4 linked regions of the Arabidopsis thaliana genome follow. The protein of the gene in region 2 interacts with the protein of the main gene of each other region in a pairwise test. Each region holds a gene or a part of one and is shown on either strand. Other genes may lie near its edges.

Region 1 (5,967 bases), on a different chromosome or scaffold from region 2:
TTATGCTATGATGGTTCTAGTAATAAAAGCAGGCATTTAGTTTGGAAAAAAAGTAAAATCTCCTTAGAGTACTTTAATTAGTAACCAGTGCTATAAACGAATTGTAACCAACACGCAATGGAATCAATAACACTCTATTAACTTAATATAGATATGAGAAACTCGTGCTTTTAATCTTTGTTAAAACGTCGACAAAAAAAAAGTTTTTTTCTGTTAATTAGTTCTCCTCTTTTTAAAGTTTTAAATTTTTGATTTCATAACTCACTATTAATTGCGATATGTGGGGTCACCTAAGATCCTCCAAGAACTTATATTCTTGATGAACATATATTGTTCACAAATTGGAATCATAATCTTATCGTATGATTGTATGTATATGTGTCACGTAGTTGGACTTTTAACCACTATTAGATCTTTCCAAATATCCTCTCTCTTTTTTTGCTTCAAATTTGTTTTTTTTGTGCACACACATCTTATATTATTAATATATAAAATTGGATGAGCTTTATAAGAGTTTTAATTACATATAGGAAAAATAGAACTAATTAATAAGATTTAGATATATGTATAAACGTATTTATATATTGACATGTAAGTTTTAAAATAATATATCGTCATGGGAAATATTTTTAAAAATCTTAAAATACAGTATGGACTTATATATTCATACTAAAACCTAGTGGGGTTTTTTTTTGTGTGTACATGAAAAGTGGTAAAAGTATTTTCTCTTTTTTAATTTTGTTAGATTAAAAATATGTTAAGGTAGCTTGTTTTGTTTATCGTCATGTGTTAAAGTGTACTATATGGTAAAGATTTATACAGTAGCATGTGTAAGCGGGTTCATGAGTAGGAGAGAATTAAATTCTGCCTTAATTAAACAAAGGTTTCGATTAGCCGTACGTACCGCCATTAATAGGGAGCATAATTATCACCCATTAGGGAGCATACTTTGACCACTAGGGGAAAATTAGAAACCTATGGTAATCGTATTAATTAATACGGCCAAAATTAATTCTAATTAACATATAAAACTGTTTCCCACAACTAATTTTTATAGATATATCACCTTTTAGATAAAATATAGAAATTCTTTCTTCATATATATGTTACTAACAAATAAAAATCATACCGATGCAATGACCTACAATCTGACCGGTTAGCTCAACAACTCAGTATTTGAGAAATGTAATTTTGTTCGATTACCATAGGTTTTTATTTGTATAAATCTAAATATAATCATATTACTTCTTTTTTTATCGAAATATAATCATATTAACTCACGCGAAGAAACTATAATAATCCATCTGACTTCTGGTTCGTAAATATTGTCATACTTAATTAGAGACGAATTGTTCTCATGGTAATCAGCAAAAGATCGAATTTCCTAATTTCTAATACTAGTCCAGAAATATGGTATAGATTTTTATCATAATTTTTTTTGTCTAGATATAATAAAGTGTAAATGGATAGCCACCCACCCACTCCTCTCGTATAATGTAAATTTCTCATTTTTTTAATGATGCCAAATCCATATAATCGGAATTTCAACCACCGTATTTGGGCTATAGATCATAACTAAAGTTATGGAAATAAATGAATAAATTAAAAAATGTTAAGTAGAAAAAATAAGTATCAACAAGAGAGAAGGAAGAAGAAGACATAAGCTAACAGTTGTCCGAAATTGATTTTGGCAAAAGGTGATCTTTGATTTTGCTTAAAACATCGAATCAGAACATTTAATTTAGTTGTTTCCTCATTTCTTTCATCTATGGAGTTTAGTATACCCAATAAATTTGATTAGTTACTTATTCCAGCTCCTATTATTATATTTAACACACATAATGTAAAACAGACGCGTATAATTTATATAGAAACTGTATGTAGTTAAAAACGACATACTAGTACTGATGACTCTTTGTTTACGTAAATTTGTATTCTCAAAGAAAAAAAGTAACTACCTTTTGTTATGGTCTCTAAGAAAAAACAAAAGTACTTTACAGTTTTCTTAGTGACCATTCTGTAAGAATATCAAATAGTGAAAAATAGGTAAACGAGAATCTTTTTTTCTGTGTAACAATATTGTATTAGTGAAGGATTATTAATTACGAGACTATTATCTAAAACGCATTAGTGACCCTTTTGGATTTAAATCGTAGCAGCCGACTAAACCAAAATATTTAGAAAGTTTTCCAAAAACAAACAACATTAAAACACATTTAAACTCGTACACAATAATAGAAACTAAACTATTTTTAGCAGACTAAAGTCTAAACAACATTACGTTTAAAAATTGATAATCAGTGTTTTATAGAACTGGCGATCTCCTAAAGATGAACCACCGAGAAGTTTCAAGATAAAAACAAAAATAAAAATAGCCAAACACTCTTATCTATTCATCCATTTGCAGGTCAATGACACCGTATTTTTCCACAATCGAATCTTCCTTATTCTTTACACAAACTTCTTCTCTGTATGTAAGTAAACTAATATTAAAATTGAACTTGTCAAAGACTTTCCTCTTGGTCACGTCTGCTATATATACTCCTTCATTCACACAAATGTTTAACTCCAACACACTTCTCTTTCTCTCAACCTCTCTCCCTCTCTCTCTCCGATTGTGTTTTTAGAGCTGTCACGTGTCACGTGTCAGGTTCGAAGCTCTAAGAAAAAAATGGGTCTTCCTCTAATGATGGAGAGATCATCAAACAACAACAACGTCGAGCTTTCTCGAGTGGCGGTTTCAGACACTCACGGCGAAGACTCACCGTACTTCGCCGGCTGGAAAGCTTACGACGAAAATCCTTACGACGAATCTCATAACCCTTCCGGTGTCATCCAAATGGGTCTCGCTGAGAATCAGGTAATAAAATCTTTCATATAGTCAACTTTTTTTTATTAATTGTTATATATTGCGATAATGTATTAATTGTCTCTTTCGATCATTTTTTTCCTACAAACAGGTCTCGTTTGATCTTCTTGAAACTTACTTGGAGAAGAAGAATCCAGAAGGTTCGATGTGGGGATCAAAAGGAGCTCCTGGGTTCCGTGAAAACGCATTGTTTCAAGACTACCACGGTCTCAAAACTTTCAGACAAGCCATGGCTAGTTTCATGGAACAGATTCGAGGAGGCAAAGCTAGATTTGATCCTGACCGGATCGTCCTCACCGCCGGAGCCACCGCCGCTAACGAACTCTTAACTTTCATTCTCGCCGATCCTAACGACGCCCTTCTAGTTCCCACACCGTATTATCCAGGGTACGTCACACTTTATAATAAGATATATAATGAATTAAATTAAGAAATATGGTCATTCGTATATATGAAGATAAACTACAAAGAAATAGCTGCAACTAACTAACACCATTTAAAAGAAAGTTATAATCTAGCAAATCTTTTATTTTCGATATTTAATGCATTGTATTTACCGAACCGTTTATTTATTTCATTACAGATTCGATAGAGATTTGAGATGGAGAACCGGAGTGAAAATAGTACCCATCCACTGCGACAGCTCGAACCATTTCCAGATAACCCCGGAGGCGCTAGAGTCGGCGTACCAAACGGCTCGTGACGCGAACATTAGAGTCCGAGGAGTGCTCATAACCAACCCATCGAACCCATTAGGGGCGACGGTCCAAAAGAAGGTTCTAGAAGATCTCCTTGACTTCTGCGTACGCAAGAATATTCACTTGGTCTCAGACGAGATCTACTCCGGCTCCGTCTTCCATGCCTCCGAGTTCACAAGCGTTGCCGAGATCGTAGAAAACATAGATGACGTGTCAGTAAAGGAACGAGTTCACATCGTCTACAGTCTCTCCAAGGATCTTGGTCTTCCTGGTTTCCGCGTGGGAACTATATACTCGTACAACGATAATGTTGTTCGGACAGCGAGAAGGATGTCGAGCTTCACGCTTGTCTCGTCTCAGACACAACATATGCTGGCTTCTATGTTGTCGGATGAGGAGTTTACGGAGAAGTACATTAGGATAAACCGGGAAAGACTTAGAAGACGGTACGATACCATTGTGGAAGGGCTTAAGAAGGCAGGGATTGAGTGTTTGAAAGGGAACGCAGGGCTATTTTGTTGGATGAATTTGGGTTTCTTGCTCGAAAAGAAAACTAAAGACGGCGAGCTCCAGCTTTGGGATGTGATCTTAAAGGAGCTGAACCTGAATATATCTCCGGGATCTTCGTGCCACTGCTCGGAGGTCGGATGGTTTAGGGTTTGTTTTGCTAATATGAGTGAGAACACTTTGGAGATTGCGTTGAAGAGAATACATGAGTTCATGGACCGACGAAGGAGGTTTTGAAATGTTAAAAAAAAAAGTAAAGTAAATCCGTTTTTTTGGTGGTTAAATATATGGGGGAGGGGTAATTAATTTTTTAGGAAAGAGAAGATAATTAATTTAAACCCATTGATGTAAAATGGGTTTTGATTTGTTTCTCTTTTCTAGATATTATTGTTTGTTTTCTTGCTTGGACAAAGCAAGTTAATTTCATGTTCATCAAGGTTGATTTGTAATATTTATTGTTATAAACGAATTTTTTAAAATATAAAGCATTACAGAAACATCTCTATCGGAAAATTATCCCTATTACTTAAGTACGGCAAAAACAAATATATTTATATTGTTAAGATAATGATACACCTCGCAAATATATTATAGACAGTAGATACAGATTTACTTATTGTTCTTGAAGGTTATACATCTGTATGTAATATTTGTTGACTTTTTTGTCAAGTTAATATTTGTTGTCGTATACAGAAAATGGGTCTAAATAATTTTATTTCAATATGGTTATGTCATTGTTGTTGTAATTTTCTGTAAAGAGGTTAGTGTTGTTATGTGGTCGGGTCTTTTTTTGACTTGGTCACTGTACAACTCTAACAAGAAATGTGTTCTTTTTCTTCTCTTAATACTAGTTATCCGAATACACACACGGTTTCGATGAGATCGAACTAGTTTTGTGTGGCTACCAATTAGTGAGGTATTTATGACGATTTATGACAAAAAAATATTGAAACAACTATTATATTGTATTTAGGGTTACATGTATAATTTTAGGATTTTGATAACCAAATAATTAATTGCAGTAACAAATATTCTTAAATAAAACATTTTGATGTTTGTTCTAGATTAACATAATAGAAACCTTTAACTAATCATATAACTCGAAATATAATATCTAAATTACAAACAAATCAGCTTATAAAAGAAGTGCACATTCAAGTTTTCCGTACGTTACAATGAGAAATATATTTGTTGTGATATCATTCGGGCGATTTTTAAAATTTGGTCTACCAGATATTCATTTTCAATAACGAAATTTGAATGATTAAATTTTAAACAAATGGTTGATTCCTAGCTAAAGTCTCTAAGTTATTTCGTTTTCTTGGCCAAGTCGAGGTCGTATACCACTTGGTTGAATAAAAACAAATCAATTTAAGTGCAAAGACAATGGACCATTGTCAACGGTCTCTACTAAAATAATATAAATAATGCAAATTATAGTTACATGTATTCAACACACATATTTTTTTCTAAAAAGTGTATAAATATACAGTATTGTATTTGGAATGAGTTCATCTATACAATAATGACAGGGAATGCCGGAATGGTATCTATGGTATAGAAGTTGCATGCAACAGAACTATAGACATTTCTTACATCATGCACCTAGAACTAAACCAATCATGTTTAATACATCATTTTTTTTATATTAAAAACTTGCTTTAGATAAATCACTAGATCGAAAGTCAGGACTATAGTATATAGGTAAAGTTGAACCTGGCGAACTCTAAATTTACAATTGAATTCTGAATATTTTTCAATTGCACCAACATTTCCAAATTTATACGTATTTTTATAAATCCATATCATATATATACTTTGACTTAGTTAGTTTTTTTATGTTATGAGTATTTATTGCTTTCGTTATGTCATGCACAAATAATAAACATATAC
Region 2 (5,896 bases):
AATCAGACAAAAGTGATAGAAACAAAAATTTCTTGAATTAGGTGCAAGAGAGTTAGAGACCTTTTGGCCTCGCTCGATGAACTTAACAGCGAAAAGCTCTTTGGAAAATTTGTCACGAACAAGCTTTGCTACTCCGAAGTTACCAGACCCAATATCCTTCACTATTTCGTACCTCTCCATGATTCTACAAACTGCAACACAAAAAAAAAAAACAGAGCTGCTCTGTTTCTTTATATATGCTCTGTTCTCTCAAAAGTCAAATCAAATAAAACAGATTATCACTTTTCGGAGATGAAACCAAAGACACATGTGTGTGTATGAGGATTGGTAGTACGTAAATAAGAGGAAACAAGACAGAGCTCCTCTGTTCTTGTTCATAAGACAGAAGAACCAATAAAATTATTTGAAGAGATAACTTCAATAAAAAGGAACCAACTATTTTTGGAAGTTTATGGGAAATAAAACTTTTACCGGAATTATAGGAAGTGATGTAATAACAATAATAATAATAATAAAAAGGGATTAAGGTGGATCGCACATTTTCGGATTTGATCTTCTTGGGAAGCTGCTTTGCTTTTGGAACAGAGTCACTGCTTTTGACTCTGTTTGTGTGTTTGTGAGAGGAGCTATCGCTGCAGTATTTGATATGTGGTGGGAATTTTTAAACATATTACATCAAAAACTTATTGCAAAACAATTATATAAAGGGAAAAGTATGAGAGACATTTAACGAATGTCGTGTTGTGGGGTTTCTTCTACTACATATGTGGTTGATTTCGACCTCGTATAAATTGTTTTTAATACTTATGGTAAATTTAAAGAATTCGGAATCTTAGTGACAAAGGAAATATTTTCGTTATCTTCTGAAATAATAGGATAAAACTGGATTATTGTCTAATGTCAACGAACGAAGATAACACTGAGGAAAAGTGTCTTCGTCAAATCGTTAACGGTTCATCTATCGAAATTCGACCTTATTTAATCGCATTACTCCAAATAGTAAAGATTGGTAAAAAAAATTTATCAACTTAAGGACTAAACGAAACTAAGTACAGAAAACATTTTAGTAGTAACAAAGTTCATGGTTTTATTCTTTAGAGGGATTTGATTGGCTTCCATAAGAGAATGAACTAATGATTGTTTCGTTGGAAGAAGTTTAAAGTAACTTGATCGTTGGTATTTGAGAAGTATTTTATGTATAATCCTAAAGACTTCAACAAAAATAAATAAAATATTATCCTAAAGTTAATTGTCAGAAACTTATAATAAAATTGTAAGATCTTTTGTTGTCGACAGTCGACGACAAATAAGATAATGCGTTTGTTGTTATTATCATAACTTATACCGTAAGTTATCAATATGAATCATATGATTTACAAGATAGACTCATCATAGTCATAGATCACATCGAGACGGAAGTTTTTTTAAGTTAAGAATGAAAAAGAAGGGAAGATAATTAAAATTATTGGCAGGGGAGCCTCGGAGATATCCCACATATGCTCAATTGTTGGGCTTCCAAACCTCTTATTTTATGTTGACTTGAGCATGCACCAACATGCATTAATATAAGTGTCATCGTATAAGTTATTAATGTCACGTCTCATCCGTCAAAAACACACAATTGTCAATCGTCCATATCTCTGCTAGGTATGATCAAACCCGACCACTCGTAAATCCATGTTATGAACTCAGATAATGTTATCTCTGTTAATATTTCTTGAATGTCCCAAAATTTAAGGGGGATGGCAATTAGGGAATGAACACTTCGATATGGTTCAAACCTTACGTTTCGCATCGATTCATGCTCTCGTCCCTATCTCCCCCACACCCAACACGTCGGAGCAAATCATCTGGTGTATTAACACTTTCATGAAGATTGGTCTCTATACAAGTAGAGAATCGTATATAAATAGTCATAGAGATAAGAAAGCTAATTAGATAAGGATCATCATTATCTAAATGACTAATTATAATTAGGAGTTATCTCAATACTTATCAAAAACTTTTGATCTACTTGCGTACGCTATATAGCTAGATTAACCACAAATCTTTTTCGAACATATCCGAATTTTCGCCTTTTTTATATGACGGTTTTTTCTAACGTATGATCTTTAGATATATCATGACTATACGTTCAATGAATACATGTTATTGTATAGTTAATATTTATGCTAGAAAAGTATAGAGTAATCTTATTATTTCATTGAATGTAAAACATAATCATCAAGAAAACTAATGCAAATAAAACAAATTAACAAAAAGGAGTAAGATAGGAAAAAACATAATCATGGATTAGGATAACTGGATAAGCATTGGATTAAGCAAAACGGAAAAAGGAAAAACAAATATTGTAGTATTTTAATAAATTACTTCAGTACAAATACAACCACATAATTAAGAACATAATGATTTTAAAAAGCTCGTAAGAATCGCCTACGTACTTAGTTGAATGTTTGAAGATTTGAAGAATAGACAACCTCCGAAGTATTTAAATTTTGAAAGAAGAAAAAAAAAACCGTTTGAGCAATCACAAAAATGTGAAAGCTGAGTTGGAGAAGAAAGGGTCCATTGGATCCCCTGACATGCTCACAACACACATGTGTCCCTCTGAGCTGTCTCCATTTTTGTTAACCCAACTTGCTTCCATTATTGTATCAATCTCACAACTCCAATTTCTTTTCACAATTAGTAAATAACTATATTAACAAATCTACAAAAAACTAGCCCCTATTTTAACCACTAGACCCAAAATTTTATAATTCCTTAAGGTGCCTATACTAATAGTAGCAAAATCACATTACCAATTATTTTGTTAATTGACCAAATTTTATCCAATAATCACATTACCAATTTTTCTAAAAGTGTATTTATGTTGTTCTTAATTTGAGGTGAAAAAAAATCCCCCTTTAAAAAGCAGGACCGGCCACAAATCCAACGGCCCAGATTAGATCTTGGTTCCAAATTTCACTCTTTTCCTCTAAAACGCATTTATCACTTTCCCTCATTAAACACAAAAACTCATTCATCGTCCTCTCTCGCTTGACCTACAACACCCGATTCTCTAATCGAAACCGTTTCTCTCTTTTTGATCAGATCTCAGATCTTTCCCTCTTTGATTCTTCTTCCTTAGATCGATTCTCTCTAGAAACAACAATGGCGTCTGGGCGTGAAGAGTTCGTATACATGGCTAAGCTCGCGGAGCAAGCGGAGAGGTACGAAGAGATGGTAGAGTTTATGGAGAAAGTCTCCGCCGCCGTTGATGGCGATGAACTCACCGTAGAAGAGCGAAATCTTCTCTCCGTCGCTTATAAGAATGTGATTGGTGCTCGCCGTGCCTCGTGGCGTATCATTTCATCGATCGAGCAGAAGGAAGAGAGCCGTGGTAACGATGACCACGTCACGGCGATCCGTGAATATAGGTCTAAGATCGAGACGGAACTCTCCGGAATCTGCGACGGAATCCTTAAGTTGCTTGACTCTAGACTCATCCCTGCCGCTGCTTCTGGTGATTCCAAGGTCTTTTACCTTAAGATGAAGGGAGATTATCACAGGTACTTGGCTGAGTTTAAGACTGGTCAAGAGAGGAAAGACGCCGCCGAACATACACTCGCCGCTTACAAATCTGCTCAGGTTTGATTCCGAATCTCAGATCTAGTTTATTTGAGTCTAGTGTGTGATCCGTGGATGGTGGTTTGTTAGATTTCCAGTATAATGAGACTTAAATTAGGGATTTGTGTATTCTCGAATAAGATCTTGAGATTGTCTAGGTTTTGAGCTTATAGTCTCTATGTGTAATTATCTGTGCAGGATATTGCTAATGCAGAGCTTGCTCCAACACACCCAATTCGTCTTGGTCTTGCATTGAACTTCTCTGTGTTCTATTACGAGATCCTCAATTCTCCTGATCGTGCCTGTAACCTCGCCAAACAGGTATTTCAATCTACTCATCTTTCAATTATGATAATGTGATTGGACTTGGTTTAACACTTGACCTCATTGGACATAAATTTGACTGGTTTTGTTGTTGTTATGTATCGTCAAGGCCTTTGATGAGGCGATTGCAGAGTTGGACACTCTTGGTGAAGAGTCATACAAAGACAGTACCTTGATCATGCAGCTTCTTCGTGACAATCTCACTCTCTGGACATCTGATATGCAGGTTTGTTCATATAATCCCCGCACCTTTGTTCTTTCTTTGTTTCTGTTATGGATGATTCGCATTCCATTGACTAAATTCTGTAACGGTGGGGATTATATTAGGATGATGCTGCGGATGAGATCAAGGAAGCAGCAGCGCCAAAACCGACCGAGGAACAGCAGTGATCTTTTGAGTGAAACTGCTAGTTTTCTTCTAGGGTTTGGAATTTCTTCTCTTTCTCGTCCATATGTTTTTCTTAATCCATCTAAGAGGTCGCTCTTGCCATTTCGCTCATCTTCAAAAGCTTATTCATTCATCATATTTGTGGCAAGTCTGAACCATCAATCATCTTTTTATCTCTTTTTAATTTATTTTCTCTTTTCTTATTTCTTTGTTGTTATCGATTTCAATGTCTGTGTAATCGAAACTTGCTTTCTTTTCTCATCAATTTGAAGATCATAAAGTCTCTTGTCTCTTATCTTGTTGCGTAGATTGATTGTTTATCAATTTTTAATTTTAAAAGCGGACTAGTTTATTGGACTGCGTAAAGCCAATTACTTTACCTGGTCTGAAATCAATCATCAATTTGATTATATAAAAATAAAAATACATTTCAAAAGAACTATTTAAGCAATAGACACTCGTTAGTCATTTGACACTTTACAGGTTTAAATTAATGATCTCGTCAGAGTTTGAAGTTTCAACTTAAAATGAAAGCATCAGAGCATAAAATTCAACCAAAGGAACAGTGAAGTGTTTGGTATAGCTAATCAACCAATCAAAAATTTAATACCCCATCGAATAGACGATGAAGAAAAAACTCTTGTATGCAATCTGATTTACAAAGAGATGAAATCATAATGGCAAACTTATAAAAATTGAATAGAGTTGCAAAAGTGTATTCCTTTCTTTTTCCTAGTCTTCTTTGTTTCTAACATGAACAAACCATGAAAACAAAAGAAAGTAAAAAAAAAAACGGATTTAAGTAATCTTTGAGTTAATTAACAAAAAAAAAAACAAATGATCCCACCACTCTCCACTAATGATGTACAAAAAGAACAAAGGGAATTTTGTCGCGACGGTCAAAACGACGACGTTTTCTCACTTTGACCGACAAGGGTTTCCGATTTTCTGATCAATGACCTTTGTATTTAGGGCTAGGAAGCGGCACCGTCGTCGGAGATACAGGGAACCCTAATTGACCTGACGATGGCGATAAAAGTATGCTCGGTGAGAGTAATCCGTACGGAGATTTAGGCGAACTTGAACATCCAAACAGTGGAGGCGCCGGAATCGATGTCGGCACCGTCTGCGAAACAGCAGAGGAAGGAGGAGGAGGATGTGGTGGTGGAAAACTGTTATGCTGCGATGGTGGAGCGTTTTCCTGTTGTTGGTACCAACGAGGTGAGACCAAAGGAGCTAACGGAGATAATCCAGAGAACTCTTTCCGATTCGAATCGATTGCGAACATCGAGTTCTGGAGATACCGCATGTACGAAGAGACCGGTGATTCCGCCGCCGCGTGAACCGGTGGTAACGGCGGGAGAGGAGAAAGCGGCGCCGTTGGTCGAAGGTTAAATCCAACGCCAGTCCAGTTTTGATTCATGTGATGAGAACCTTGAGGGATAAGTGCGTCATTTAGCAAACCAGGAGGACGATTGATAACGTGAACCAAAGGAGGAGGACGGATCCTATGTAGACGCGAACTCTGTTGAGGTTTAGGGTGATGAATCGGTTGTTGCGGCGGAGCAGAGATCC
Region 3 (7,382 bases), about 15 Mb from region 2:
CACCACTAAAACCATGGAACACGTGCAAACAAGTCCAAAAAATAGAGATCAAGCTAGTCACTACAACTGTTTTGGGTAACCAACCAAATCAATAAGAGGAGGCCACAAAACACTTGAACACAAAAAAGGAAGTGGGAGAGAAAAGAGAGGGACGAGGCACCAAAAACAAAACCGTTGTTGCTCAGATCCGTTGAGAGAAGAAGAACAGTCTCTAGTGCTCCAAACAAAATAAGACACCTGACTAGAGACAAGACGAAGATCCACATCATGAGGCATAAGCGAGAACATCGACTATATTTTTACCATCTACTTTAAGGGTTGTTGATTTCAGTTTTTTAGAACCAAGCTTTTTTACAACCCAATCTACCTCGTCAAAATCAGCACGTTTCACAATCGTAAAAAACAAAGATAATAAAACAAGAGAAGGGACCGGCGCTATAAGAACCGTTACACGCCGGTCAGATCTAGTCAAGGCAATAGGTTGGAAAAAAACGGCGATTAAATTTTTTTTTAAAAAGGTTTAAAAATAAAATAAAAATCTATAATCCATAAATTATTTTGAACTACTTTGATATATATAATACAATCTGGCCAACATCTATTCATTAATATGCGAGAGTTTTTTGTGATTATTAGATATGCGAGAGTTATAAAGTAGAAATAGGTGTTTAAAGAGTGCTGAATTGCCATTTGTGGCAATAAACAATTTTCGCTTTTATGTTACGCAAATATTGTCAAAGTTTGATTATAATTAATGTTGAGATTGGAGGATTAATGACGTTATGACAACAAGTCAACAACTACGAGCTAAATAATCAAGTTAGGCGATCAATTGAGGTAAAATATCTCACAAGTTTGACGACTCATTTTTTAATGACTTTATTAAAAAGGAGAATAATAGTTTGGAAAATGACAAACCACCAAAAATGATAAAACAATGTAAAGAATAAACAAACGACCGCTTTTAGAAACGTCGTAAATATAATTTCTTCATATCACTCGTCCCTAATTCCCTATATTAACTATACTATATATATTGTATTGATTATCTTATTTGTAAAGTTAGGTATATAAAAATCATATATATTGAAACTGCTATATGCAAGTAGTCTTATTTAAGAAATTGTGCTATGAAATAGAAATTGTTGTATGGATAGTAATAGTCTTCGCAACAAATTTAGTTTTCATTGTTTGACACTTTAACATGAAAGGTTAGCATAAAAAAAAATAAAGTGGAAACTTGAAATCAACTAAATTTTCATGTTCCTTTTTAAAGTATAAAACTTAAACATAATATAAATAGTACCATATGATTTAAACTTAAACTGTCTTTTTTACTTTTTTTTCTTTCACAGATTTAATCTTCATCTCACATCTCAAAAGATAAATTTTTATTCTGCAGTAAAAAATTCATTAGCAAACTCTCTTTAATTAAATATCAAAATATGTTTTTTAATGTAAAAATATTAATTAATATCTTAAACTTTGTCTTTTTAGTGAAATATCTTATATATTATAACAGAAGAAGTATATATATATATATATATATAAAAAAAATAAAGATGTATATTGGTTACCCAAAATTAGAAGTTCACAAGAAAATCAATATTCAATATTTACTCAATGAAATTTTCAACAAAAAAAAGTCTTAAATAAAGAAAGATTTACCCACTGAATCTGCTGAACCCGTGGCTCCGTCGGTTTTGATTAGTCACCGCCATTCTTTCCGAAGAAAAACAATAATAACAGTAATACTAATATATAGGTGGCTGTAATGTTGCATCTTGATCAAAAAGAGAAATAATTTTGTAGTTATTTTAAGGAAAAAGATGAACGTGATCATTTTCCATCATTCAGTTTTTTTTTTTTTTTCATTTTCCAACATTCATACATAGGTATTTTAAACTTTTAGATGATTCAAGGAACTATTTTAGGTTATAATAATGTATACAAAAAATTAGATTACTCAATAATTAATATCTCATCAATATTGCTGAAAATCACATCTGTTAATTTTATCAAAAAAAAATATTACTAAAAAACAGTTTAATAAGAAAATATTACTGAAAATAACGTTTAATAAGAAAATAAATATTGTATGATTATTAGATTTTTTCTGATAATATGTTTAATTGATTTATCAAATCTCAAGAATAAAAGGAACGTTGTTCCTATGTTTAACTGAAGGATATAAGAACATTGATAAACTTCTAAACTAGAACCAGGGGTAAAAGGATTATCAAATCTCAATAATAAAAGGAACGTTCTTCCTATGTTAACACATTGATAATTCTTTAATTTACTGGTAAAAAATATACGGTTTACAAAATATATATATATATATATATATATATATATATATATATATATATATATACGGTTTTAATAGTTACCGATCACAAAAACTATTAAAATTAATAGTATGAAAATATTATCACCACGATTTTTGTATTACTAATTTTATTGCTCTTAATTATTTTGTCATCTTTTATCGTTATTTTTCCATTAAAAATAAATACGGCTTTGTGTCACGAATAAGAAAACATATTTTTTAGTAAAACAAATTCGACTAAAATAAAAAGGAAAATGTTTTGATCACATTTTTATATTGTATTACAGGAAATAACCAATGATAGATAATAATATATTATTCAATTGTCATCATTTCTTAGTTGACAAAAAAAAATCTATACATGTTTCCGAGACGTTAAAAGTATTTACAAAACTACTCCAACAATTCACATTTGTTTTATAACAAATAGGGACAAAAATGATCATTTTAAGCTTATTGAATAACTATGATCGTTTATTTTTGTCAAACAAATGGATGGTTTATTTAATTAAGTCAAGTCATAAGAAAAAATTAATAGTAAGTGTGTAAGAAAAAAATTAAAAAGTCACAAATGGTCCCATACGTGTGATTCGGCACGATACTTCCTAAAAGCATACCACTAGGCTCTCTCCTATATAACTTCATCTCCACCAACGATGCATTTTCGTCCTCAGATCTCATCTCACTCACAAGAGAGAGATAGAGAGAGAAAAAGGCTCTGCTTTCTACATTATTTACGATTATACACTTTCCAACATGGCGGCCTCTGTAGATAATCGCCAATACGCTCGTCTCGAGCCAGGTTTGAACGGCGTGGTTCGTTCTTACAAACCTCCCGTTCCAGGCCGGTCCGATTCCCCTAAGGCGCACCAGAACCAAACCACCAACCAAACCGTGTTCTTGAAACCAGCCAAGGTTCATGACGATGACGAAGACGTGTCGAGCGAAGACGAGAACGAGACACACAACAGCAACGCCGTGTACTACAAGGAGATGATAAGAAAATCCAACGCCGAGCTTGAACCGTCCGTTTTGGACCCGAGGGACGAATACACGGCTGATAGCTGGATCGAGCGTAACCCTTCCATGGTACGTCTCACAGGGAAACATCCCTTCAACTCCGAGGCGCCTCTTAACCGTTTAATGCACCACGGGTTTATCACCCCTGTCCCGTTGCACTACGTTCGTAACCACGGCCACGTCCCTAAAGCCCAATGGGCCGAATGGACGGTCGAGGTGACCGGATTCGTCAAACGGCCCATGAAATTCACCATGGACCAGCTCGTCTCCGAGTTTGCTTACCGCGAGTTCGCCGCGACGCTAGTCTGCGCGGGGAACCGCCGTAAGGAACAGAACATGGTGAAGAAGTCAAAGGGATTCAACTGGGGATCCGCCGGAGTTTCCACCTCCGTGTGGCGTGGTGTCCCTCTCTGCGACGTACTGCGTCGCTGCGGGATCTTTAGCCGAAAAGGCGGCGCTCTCAACGTCTGCTTCGAAGGGTCGGAGGATCTTCCGGGCGGTGCCGGAACTGCTGGTTCCAAATACGGAACGAGCATCAAGAAGGAATATGCCATGGATCCATCAAGAGACATCATTTTGGCTTATATGCAAAACGGAGAGTATCTAACACCAGACCACGGTTTTCCGGTTCGGATCATCATCCCCGGTTTCATTGGTGGCCGGATGGTTAAATGGTTGAAACGAATCATTGTCACAACTAAAGAATCCGACAATTTCTACCATTTCAAGGACAACAGAGTTTTACCTTCTTTGGTAGACGCCGAACTCGCCGACGAAGAAGGTACATAAAATCTTTTTGCTTCAATAAATCTCATTAAGATGAACTAATTGATATGTTTAAAAAGTCTCCGAACCTATAGGAGAAAAACAAAAACAGAAATCATATTAAAAAATGAAAAACTAATGTTGGTGGATGATGTCAGCTTCTGTGACTTACATAAATTCAAATTCAATGGTTTTGTTTTAGGTTGGTGGTATAAGCCAGAGTACATAATCAACGAGCTAAACATAAACTCCGTGATTACGACGCCATGTCACGAGGAGATTCTTCCCATCAACGCTTTCACAACCCAAAGACCTTATACTTTAAAGGGTTACGCATATTCCGGTACTTGTCCTTTTAACATTTTAATTTAATAAATACGTTATTTCATAGGATGATTTAATTTAATAGTAACAATAATCTTTATACAAAAAAAAACAGGAGGTGGAAAAAAAGTGACCCGTGTGGAGGTCACGGTAGATGGTGGAGAGACATGGAACGTATGTGCACTTGACCATCAAGAGAAGCCAAACAAGTATGGGAAGTTCTGGTGTTGGTGTTTTTGGTCACTTGAGGTTGAGGTTTTGGACTTGCTTAGTGCCAAAGAGATTGCTGTTCGTGCATGGGACGAGACTCTCAACACGCAGCCCGAGAAAATGATATGGAATCTCATGGGGATGATGAATAACTGCTGGTTTAGAGTGAAGACTAACGTGTGCAAGCCACACAAGGGAGAGATTGGGATTGTGTTCGAGCATCCAACGCTTCCTGGTAATGAATCTGGTGGATGGATGGCGAAGGAACGTCACCTCGAAAAATCGGCTGACGCGCCTCCTAGTCTAAAGAAGTCTGTCTCGACGCCGTTTATGAACACAACTGCGAAGATGTACTCGATGTCCGAGGTCAAGAAGCATAATTCGGCTGACTCTTGCTGGATCATTGTCCATGGACATATCTATGATTGTACACGATTCCTTATGGATCACCCGGGTGGTTCGGATTCAATCTTGATCAATGCTGGTACGGATTGTACGGAGGAGTTTGAAGCCATTCACTCGGATAAAGCCAAGAAGATGCTTGAGGATTACCGTATCGGTGAGCTCATCACCACTGGTTATTCCTCTGACTCTTCCTCGCCTAACAACTCGGTTCACGGTTCATCCGCCGTGTTCTCGCTGTTGGCTCCCATTGGAGAGGCGACTCCGGTTAGGAACCTCGCTTTGGTTAATCCCCGGGCTAAAGTCCCGGTTCAACTCGTCGAAAAGACTTCCATTTCTCATGATGTTCGTAAATTCCGGTTTGCTTTACCGGTTGAGGATATGGTTCTAGGCTTACCGGTTGGTAAGCACATTTTCCTTTGCGCCACCATCAATGACAAGCTCTGCCTCAGAGCTTACACACCAAGCAGCACCGTTGATGTGGTTGGCTACTTCGAGCTCGTGGTCAAGATTTACTTTGGCGGTGTCCACCCAAGATTCCCTAACGGCGGGCTCATGTCTCAGTACCTAGACTCTTTGCCTATAGGGTCAACTTTGGAGATTAAAGGACCATTGGGTCACGTTGAGTATCTCGGCAAGGGTAGTTTCACGGTTCACGGTAAACCAAAGTTTGCTGATAAATTGGCAATGTTGGCAGGTGGAACCGGAATAACTCCGGTTTACCAAATTATCCAAGCCATTCTCAAGGATCCAGAGGATGAGACTGAAATGTACGTCATTTATGCTAACCGGACCGAGGAAGATATTCTCCTAAGGGAGGAACTGGATGGTTGGGCAGAGCAATACCCGGACCGGTTAAAGGTTTGGTACGTAGTGGAATCAGCTAAGGAAGGTTGGGCATACAGTACCGGGTTTATTTCCGAGGCGATTATGCGAGAACATATCCCTGATGGATTAGATGGCTCAGCCCTTGCCATGGCTTGCGGACCACCACCGATGATTCAGTTTGCGGTTCAGCCGAATTTGGAGAAGATGCAATATAACATCAAGGAGGATTTCTTGATATTCTAGTCTAAAGCCAAGATATTTCAAAGTCAAAACGTTAAGTCGTCAAAAAGCCTAGTGTTATGATAGATTCTAAATAAGTATTGAGGGATTTGTTTGTATATAATGTTGGTTCTTTAAAGTCTTGGATTTGGAAATATAATGTGTTCGTTGTATTCACGATCGATATTTTTTTTCACAATAATATACAAAAAGTAATTTCAGAAATTTTTGTGGTTAGGTTATCGTACATTGAATTTTCTGCGTTTACTTCACATTATGAATATCAATTTGAATATGTTCATTTTTTCATATGTCTTTGTCGTTAAAAAATAAAATAAAAATTCTACAGCTATTAGACACCAATAATCATTTTCAAAGAGAATAAAGCCAAAGCGAAGTAGTTTCCTGTTGTGCAAGTTGAAACCAAACTCGTCCATTAGTTCCTATATTAATCTTCACCACATATATGATTTAAGATTAGGGGGAGTGAATTTACTTTTTTCATTTGTTTTATTAACTTGTAATTTAGAAGACTCTTCCTTTTTGGGTGATTAGTTTAACAATATATCAATCGTTTGAGAATCTTTAGAGTTTTCAGTTAATATTCAATTTGTTCTTATTAAAATTGTACATGTTTATAAAGTATGTTTCTAGCATCCAAACTCTTCTCCATTACAGGATTAGAATTTTAATACAGCATCACAAGTTATGTTCTAAGTTATCCAAAAGGAACATCATATCTATATAAAAATAGTGTGCTATTAAACCGATAGAAAATGTTACGATATATATATATATATATATCTAAATAAAATCATATATCAACGATTCATAACTTCAAGAACTTAAATAATGTCGACAGAAAAATGCAAAGATATATTTTCTAACATATAAAAATCGAACGGATGTAAAACGAATTGATGTTATTTCATTTAAAAATGTGTCACTCTAGAAATATGTAGAGATTAGTATACAATAATATGTTTTAGATTTATTGAATAGTGGAAGCTTGGAATACTATATGATCAACAACAACAACAAAAAATCTTCGGATGATTGATAATGCACCCATGATTTTATGATAGTATATGACTCAAAATATTCAACATAAATTCTATAAATTAAAAATCAAACAATAGTCGATATCTCCAATTCTGGAGGATCTAATGTAGAAGTAGTCTAATTTTAGTGTCCTTCAACTTAGTGATGCACATGAACTGGAGTTGAATTTATTATTATTCATTGTTTAGAAATTCTAAATTTGTTTTCTAAATTAAATATA
Region 4 (6,119 bases), on a different chromosome or scaffold from region 2:
TGGCTTCATCATCAAATATTATTTCACATGTGATTCTCCAATGTATCATTATTAAGAGTTGTTATACGAGGACCCATTTTTTTCGCAGCAATCAAATCAATTTGAGCTTTTTAATTAAAATCTTCAAAAATAATCTGAGAAAATCACAGCGTCTCATTAATTATTAAAAAAGTACTTCAAAAAAGTGGATATACGATTTTGAAATGATAACGATTTCCTGACGTCAGAAAAAATCCTATAACAAACATTAATGTTTTTTTTTGGTTAGTTAAGAGACAATAATATGTTACATCTACCAAAGAATATTCCAGTTAAGTTAGTTAATAGTTGGAGTCAAACTTAAACGAACAACGTCGCCTACAAATCTGGGGGTATAAGTTATAACCAACGGCCACCAACATGGGTTTTGATATCGTCCACCTGATTTTTATGTTAATATAACTCAATTTGATTGATTAAATATTATGCTCTTATACTAATCATTCTAGGTCCAAAACTGAATCACTCATTGCACATCATTTTTATGATTTTTATTTTGAAAATCTCATGTTTCAAGAAATATTTGTGCATTCTACTAGTAGCTTATTTTAAATAAAGTTTCGAGTTTATATAATAAACAATATGTTTATTTCTTTGATTTGTATACATTTTAAAAAAAAAAACAGGATGAAGATATATACAACTAAAGCTCAATTCAACTAGTAGGAAAATTGTATTCTACAAAAAATTTGTGTTTATGTTTTTATTATGATAACCATCCAAACTCATTATTTCACCCATGATCAAAGTAACTATATCAATATATCTGCAACAATATCTGACTCAACATTTATTTTTACATAAACTGCGGACCAACACAATTATGCTAAACTATCATCATTTATTCTATTGGTATTGGAGATCAGTCTACGTCAGTGAATACCGCATAATTCACATGAAACTAACTCCAAAACCCTTTAACCAAAAAAAAAAAAAAACTAATTACAACTCCGGTTAACCTGTCGATAATTACAAGACTGAAAACATCCTAGTCAGTAAAAAACATATTTGTATGTATCCGATCCCACCAAATAAATAAGTTGTTGTCAATGATAGAGGAAGAGAAAACGAAAAAAAATTGCGGACCAAGACATTTGGGACTACTAGAGTTTAGGGAGCATAAATGGTCCTATTTGACTTACCCTCTACCGTATAAATAAATGTATTTTAGCCGTATAAATGTATACATACGTAGATGCATAGGTATACAGGATTACTTTAGACGATTTGATGTCGGTATGACATTACATTTGACTCCCCTAGCTCCACTTGTCTCTGTTCATTTTTCTTGTATGTCATTTCCTTGTTTTCCAATTTTACGTTTACCACCCTATTTTATTTTGTTAATATTTTCTAAGTCAACGTGTTGACACTTAATTACAGAATCTGATAACTAAAGTTACATAAAATGCTCACAGTTTTTTTCAGCAAAATACTCACATTATACGACATATAAAATTTTAGCAGTCTATAAATAGTAATTATTTGGCATTAGTATTGGACAAGAAGTAGAATATAAATTAATGTTGGTTCTTTTTTCTATCCAACTTCACACAGCCAATTTTGTAGCTGACATCGTGAATGGACGACTAAACTAATCATAAGCATAGTGATTCAGTTTATACAACAACAACAAAAAGTTAATTACATTTGAGGTTTCTTTTTAAATTGCTATGTTTGGTCCCTAAATGATGGTCATAATAAGGACGGTCCGGCGGTGACGGAAACGCGTAAAGACTAATCATTTTAGTACTATTAATTTGTAGAATTATTATTAAATATGCTTGAATCCTAGAAAACGATCAAATAAATTTTGGAAAGAAGCTCAAAATGTGTTATTTAATTTTGTCCCTATGTAGAGCTGGTTTTTTTATTTTTATTTAAACATAATCCTAAGATTTATTGCTGTATGTGTGAATGCAATAATAAATAGAAACTCAATAATAGATCATTCTTATTTTCAAAAAGAAACAAGAACTACTGCAATGTTTTAATTGTTTATTTTGTATTAAATAATATAGCTTGTTAATTATTGGAGATCGCATTAAATAATAAAAGAAGTTGTCTCACATGTCTTGGAGAATATTTACTAAAAACTATGGTAATGTCTGGACGGTCAAAAAAGTCTCTCTAGTTTCTGATTCTGTTGTCACATTTTATTTTTGAAATTAAATGTCGTTAGATTATTATTATCTATATATATATATATCCCAACAGACCCATTGCTTCTCCAACCACATCTCACTCTTCACCAACTTAAACCCTAATTCAAGATCTCTTCTTTTCGTTCTCTCCTTCACCCACATTAGTCTTCTCTACGACCAAAATCTCTTGACTTTAAAAACAGAGAATGAAACAGCTTTCGACAAAAGTGACAAGCAATGGTCATGGACAAGACTCATCCTACTTCTTGGGATGGGAAGAGTACGAGAAGAATCCTTATGATGAGATCAAGAACCCTAATGGGATGATCCAGATGGGTCTAGCCGAAAACCAGCTATGTTTCGATCTAATCGAGTCATGGTTAACTAAGAACCCAGACGCGGCAAGTCTCAAGAGGAACGGTCAATCCATTTTCAGAGAGCTTGCTCTATTTCAAGACTATCATGGCATGCCTGAATTCAAAAAAGTAAGCTTCTTTCATTTTTCTCAAATTCAATAAAGAGAGTAACCTGACGTGTATCACAAGTAATGAATCCATTTCTCATGAACATTTTCTGTCATTTTTTACAGGCTATGGCTGAGTTTATGGAAGAGATAAGAGGAAACCGTGTCACGTTCGATCCAAAAAAGATTGTTTTAGCGGCTGGTTCGACATCTGCGAATGAGACTCTCATGTTTTGCCTTGCAGAGCCTGGCGATGCTTTCCTTTTGCCTACTCCTTACTATCCTGGGTAAATTACACTTCTCCTCTTTACTTGGATTCCAAGTAAACCCAATAGAAATATATGCTTACGTCTAGGCTTTTTTATGATTACAGATTTGATAGAGATCTTAAATGGAGAACCGGAGCAGAGATAGTACCCATTCACTGCTCAAGCTCTAATGGCTTCCAAATCACGGAATCAGCTCTGCAACAAGCTTACCAACAAGCCCAGAAACTTGATCTCAAAGTCAAAGGAGTTCTTGTCACGAATCCATCTAACCCACTTGGCACTGCGTTGACCAGACGTGAACTTAACCTTCTCGTTGACTTCATCACTTCCAAGAACATTCATCTCATTAGCGACGAGATCTATTCAGGCACTATGTTCGGGTTTGAACAGTTCATAAGCGTAATGGATGTCTTGAAAGACAAGAAACTCGAAGACACGGAGGTTTCAAAACGAGTCCACGTCGTTTATAGCCTTTCTAAAGATCTGGGACTTCCTGGTTTCCGTGTGGGAGCGATCTACTCCAACGACGAAATGATCGTTTCAGCAGCTACAAAAATGTCAAGTTTTGGTCTTGTTTCTTCTCAGACACAATACCTTCTCTCTGCATTGCTCTCCGACAAGAAGTTCACTAGCCAATACCTCGAAGAGAACCAGAAACGACTCAAGTCCAGACAGAGACGCCTCGTGTCTGGTCTTGAGTCTGCAGGGATTACTTGCCTGAGAAGCAACGCGGGTTTGTTCTGTTGGGTCGACATGAGACACCTTTTGGACACAAACACATTTGAAGCAGAGCTTGACCTCTGGAAAAAGATTGTTTACAACGTGAAACTAAACATATCACCCGGTTCTTCATGTCACTGCACCGAACCGGGTTGGTTTAGGGTTTGTTTCGCTAATATGAGCGAGGACACACTCGATTTGGCCTTGAAGAGGCTCAAAACTTTCGTAGAATCCACAGACTGTGGACGAATGATATCAAGAAGCAGCCATGAAAGGCTCAAGAGTTTGAGGAAGAAGACAGTCTCTAACTGGGTTTTCCGGGTTTCATGGACCGATCGTGTACCTGATGAACGATGAAATTATTCATCTCCCTAAGTTTGAGACGACGAACAAAAGAAAACTTCACGGTTTTTTCTTCTTCTTTATTTCCTTCATTTTTTATATTTTGGGAAAGTATTTTTAATTTTCCAAGATATCTATAATCATATCATTATATATGTAATATTTTTTTTAATGTTTGGGTGAGTCTTTAATTTATGCAATTTTTCGGGTGTAAAATTGTTACTATGTGTTATTATATGTTTTTAATGCACTCAATCCGAATGTGGATTTGCAGTGGCTATATATATAAATAAATATATATCCCGTTGTAATTTTAGTGAAACGTTTGTGTGTATTGTACCCATATATAAAAATGTAATTCACTCTTTTTAGTTTATATATATTTTGTTTTATAAATATGGGTTTCTTTAATTTTATGCTCTATCATTTGGTATAGTTTTTGAGTTTGTTGTGAGAATTCTCCTCTGACTATAAGGCTATAAAGATCGTGTTAACGTTGTTGGTTAAGGACGTTAGTTGAGGCATATCAAAAGGAGGCTTAATTTAATGTCAATTAACTAATTAATTAATCATTATATGGTAATATGGCGGGAATTGTCGAATTGGTCAACTGAGAAAGCAAAAGGGGAAAGTCAAAGGTTTTCCACTTAGGTGAATCAAGAGAGAAGGTATGATCTACTTGTCGAAAATATTCGATGAAGCCTAAATAATTTAGTTAAAAATCGACTAAAACCCATTAACAATTTCGGGGTAAAGGTAGCTTCTAGCGTTCTACGGCAGTAAAGTTTTGAGCTTTGAATAGGTACGTTGCATTGCGTAAGAATGTTCACGTCACATATTTGAACTAAAATTACAAGTTTACAACGAAATCCACATTTTTTTTTTGTATAATCAAAACTTACTCTATCAGGATTAACGTAATTATAAGAAAAAAATGAGCAACTTATGAGAAACCGAAATCTGTATATCGAGAGCCATGGTTGATTGATATATATGTTAAGGAGGATATGTCCCAATGATTACAATGATTATAGATTTATACATTACAATTCCAATCATCGAAATCAATAATTTTCAAAAATTTGAGGATGAAAAGGCTCCAATCATTTAAAGAGAAAAGTCTTTATAACCATTTTTTTTTTCTTGTGAAATTATTTCCCGAGGGATAAAGTAGAGGATAAAGTGTCATATCATCATAGGCTAATCATTATAGTATAAGATATAAGATACCGGTCAAATGTTATTATGCTAAGCCTATCACATAAAAAAAAAACTAAAAAAGTGCCATGAGCTTTGTTGGTACTACGAAGAGTAGACTACGAAATATATAATACAACTTTAGTAACCGATTTTGTTTTAATTTTAGCATGATACGCGGCTATACCGGCCGTAACGGCAAATGATCCTTACATGTGAACAGCATTAATGTGGTGGTTGAGTCCCCAAAAATCTGTCTCAATTAATTAACAATTCGATTATAAAAACTTAACAGAGATATGTAGTAGCAGTACGTACTTTGAAAAATAAGAGATTGAGAATTTGGTTGGATTTGAGAATCCGTGAATGAGTAATACTGATTAAGTAATATTCTACTTAAAAGTCTTTATTGCATATGACCGACCATAACTATACAAACTGACATTATGAAGTCGTTGTACCAGAAAATTTTCGTCATTGTCATGGTCGTAGTCTACTTGCTACTATAATAAGCGACATTGGAATGATATTTGATATTATCATTCCATAAATTGTTACGTCAACTGGTGCCACATACTAATCATATAGTTGGTAATGTAAGAATACGTTTTCTTGTAAAAATGTTTAAAATATTGTTTTACCCAGTTCTAAAAGTAGATATAGATTATGGAAGTTTATCTTTATCAACGTATTGTAAAGTAGATATAGATTATGGAAGTTATGTACATATGCATGTCAAGTTTGAACCAAAATTTCAGTCACGTGGGCTTCACGAGTGAGGCCATATAACTGCACATGCCATGACACAGAAACATATAACATCTCTTATGCATACACCTATAGTAATCATATTTATATATGCATAACAAACAAATGAATTGTAACGATTTGTTTTTTACTCCATATTTGACTTCGACCGATTGGACATATAATTTGGAATTCAAA

The links.
Region 1: the proteins of GRF2 (region 2) and ACS7 interact in a protein complementation assay, tested with the Arabidopsis thaliana proteins (2 studies listed by BioGRID).
Region 3: the proteins of GRF2 (region 2) and NIA2 interact in a two-hybrid assay, tested with the Arabidopsis thaliana proteins (one study listed by BioGRID).
Region 4: the proteins of GRF2 (region 2) and ACS5 interact in a protein complementation assay, tested with the Arabidopsis thaliana proteins (one study listed by BioGRID).

Annotation. Positions count from the first base shown.
Region 1 is NC_003075.7:13,272,636-13,278,602, forward strand, and holds ACS7 (1-amino-cyclopropane-1-carboxylate synthase 7), read left to right. Parts: upstream 1-2,564; 5' UTR 2,565-2,671; coding exon 2,672-2,860; intron 2,861-2,960; coding exon 2,961-3,256; intron 3,257-3,452; coding exon 3,453-4,311; 3' UTR 4,312-4,553; downstream 4,554-5,967. UniProt on the Arabidopsis thaliana protein: 1-aminocyclopropane-1-carboxylate synthase (ACS) enzymes catalyze the conversion of S-adenosyl-L-methionine (SAM) into 1-aminocyclopropane-1-carboxylate (ACC), a direct precursor of ethylene.
Region 2 is NC_003070.9:29,458,730-29,464,625, forward strand, and holds GRF2 (general regulatory factor 2), read left to right. Parts: upstream 1-2,661; 5' UTR 2,662-3,153; coding exon 3,154-3,630; intron 3,631-3,807; coding exon 3,808-3,930; intron 3,931-4,042; coding exon 4,043-4,159; intron 4,160-4,260; coding exon 4,261-4,323; 3' UTR 4,324-4,660; downstream 4,661-5,896. Other genes in the region: SNRK2-8 (Protein kinase superfamily protein), read right to left, coding at 61-180; AT1G78310 (VQ motif-containing protein), read right to left, coding at 5,274-5,896. UniProt on the Arabidopsis thaliana protein: Is associated with a DNA binding complex that binds to the G box, a well-characterized cis-acting DNA regulatory element found in plant genes.
Region 3 is NC_003070.9:14,155,529-14,162,910, forward strand, and holds NIA2 (nitrate reductase 2), read left to right. Parts: upstream 1-2,923; 5' UTR 2,924-3,088; coding exon 3,089-4,133; intron 4,134-4,319; coding exon 4,320-4,460; intron 4,461-4,556; coding exon 4,557-6,124; 3' UTR 6,125-6,410; downstream 6,411-7,382. UniProt on the Arabidopsis thaliana protein: Nitrate reductase is a key enzyme involved in the first step of nitrate assimilation in plants, fungi and bacteria.
Region 4 is NC_003076.8:26,328,969-26,335,087, reverse strand, and holds ACS5 (ACC synthase 5), read left to right. Parts: upstream 1-2,275; 5' UTR 2,276-2,389; coding exon 2,390-2,668; intron 2,669-2,772; coding exon 2,773-2,933; intron 2,934-3,019; coding exon 3,020-3,992; 3' UTR 3,993-4,342; downstream 4,343-6,119. UniProt on the Arabidopsis thaliana protein: 1-aminocyclopropane-1-carboxylate synthase (ACS) enzymes catalyze the conversion of S-adenosyl-L-methionine (SAM) into 1-aminocyclopropane-1-carboxylate (ACC), a direct precursor of ethylene.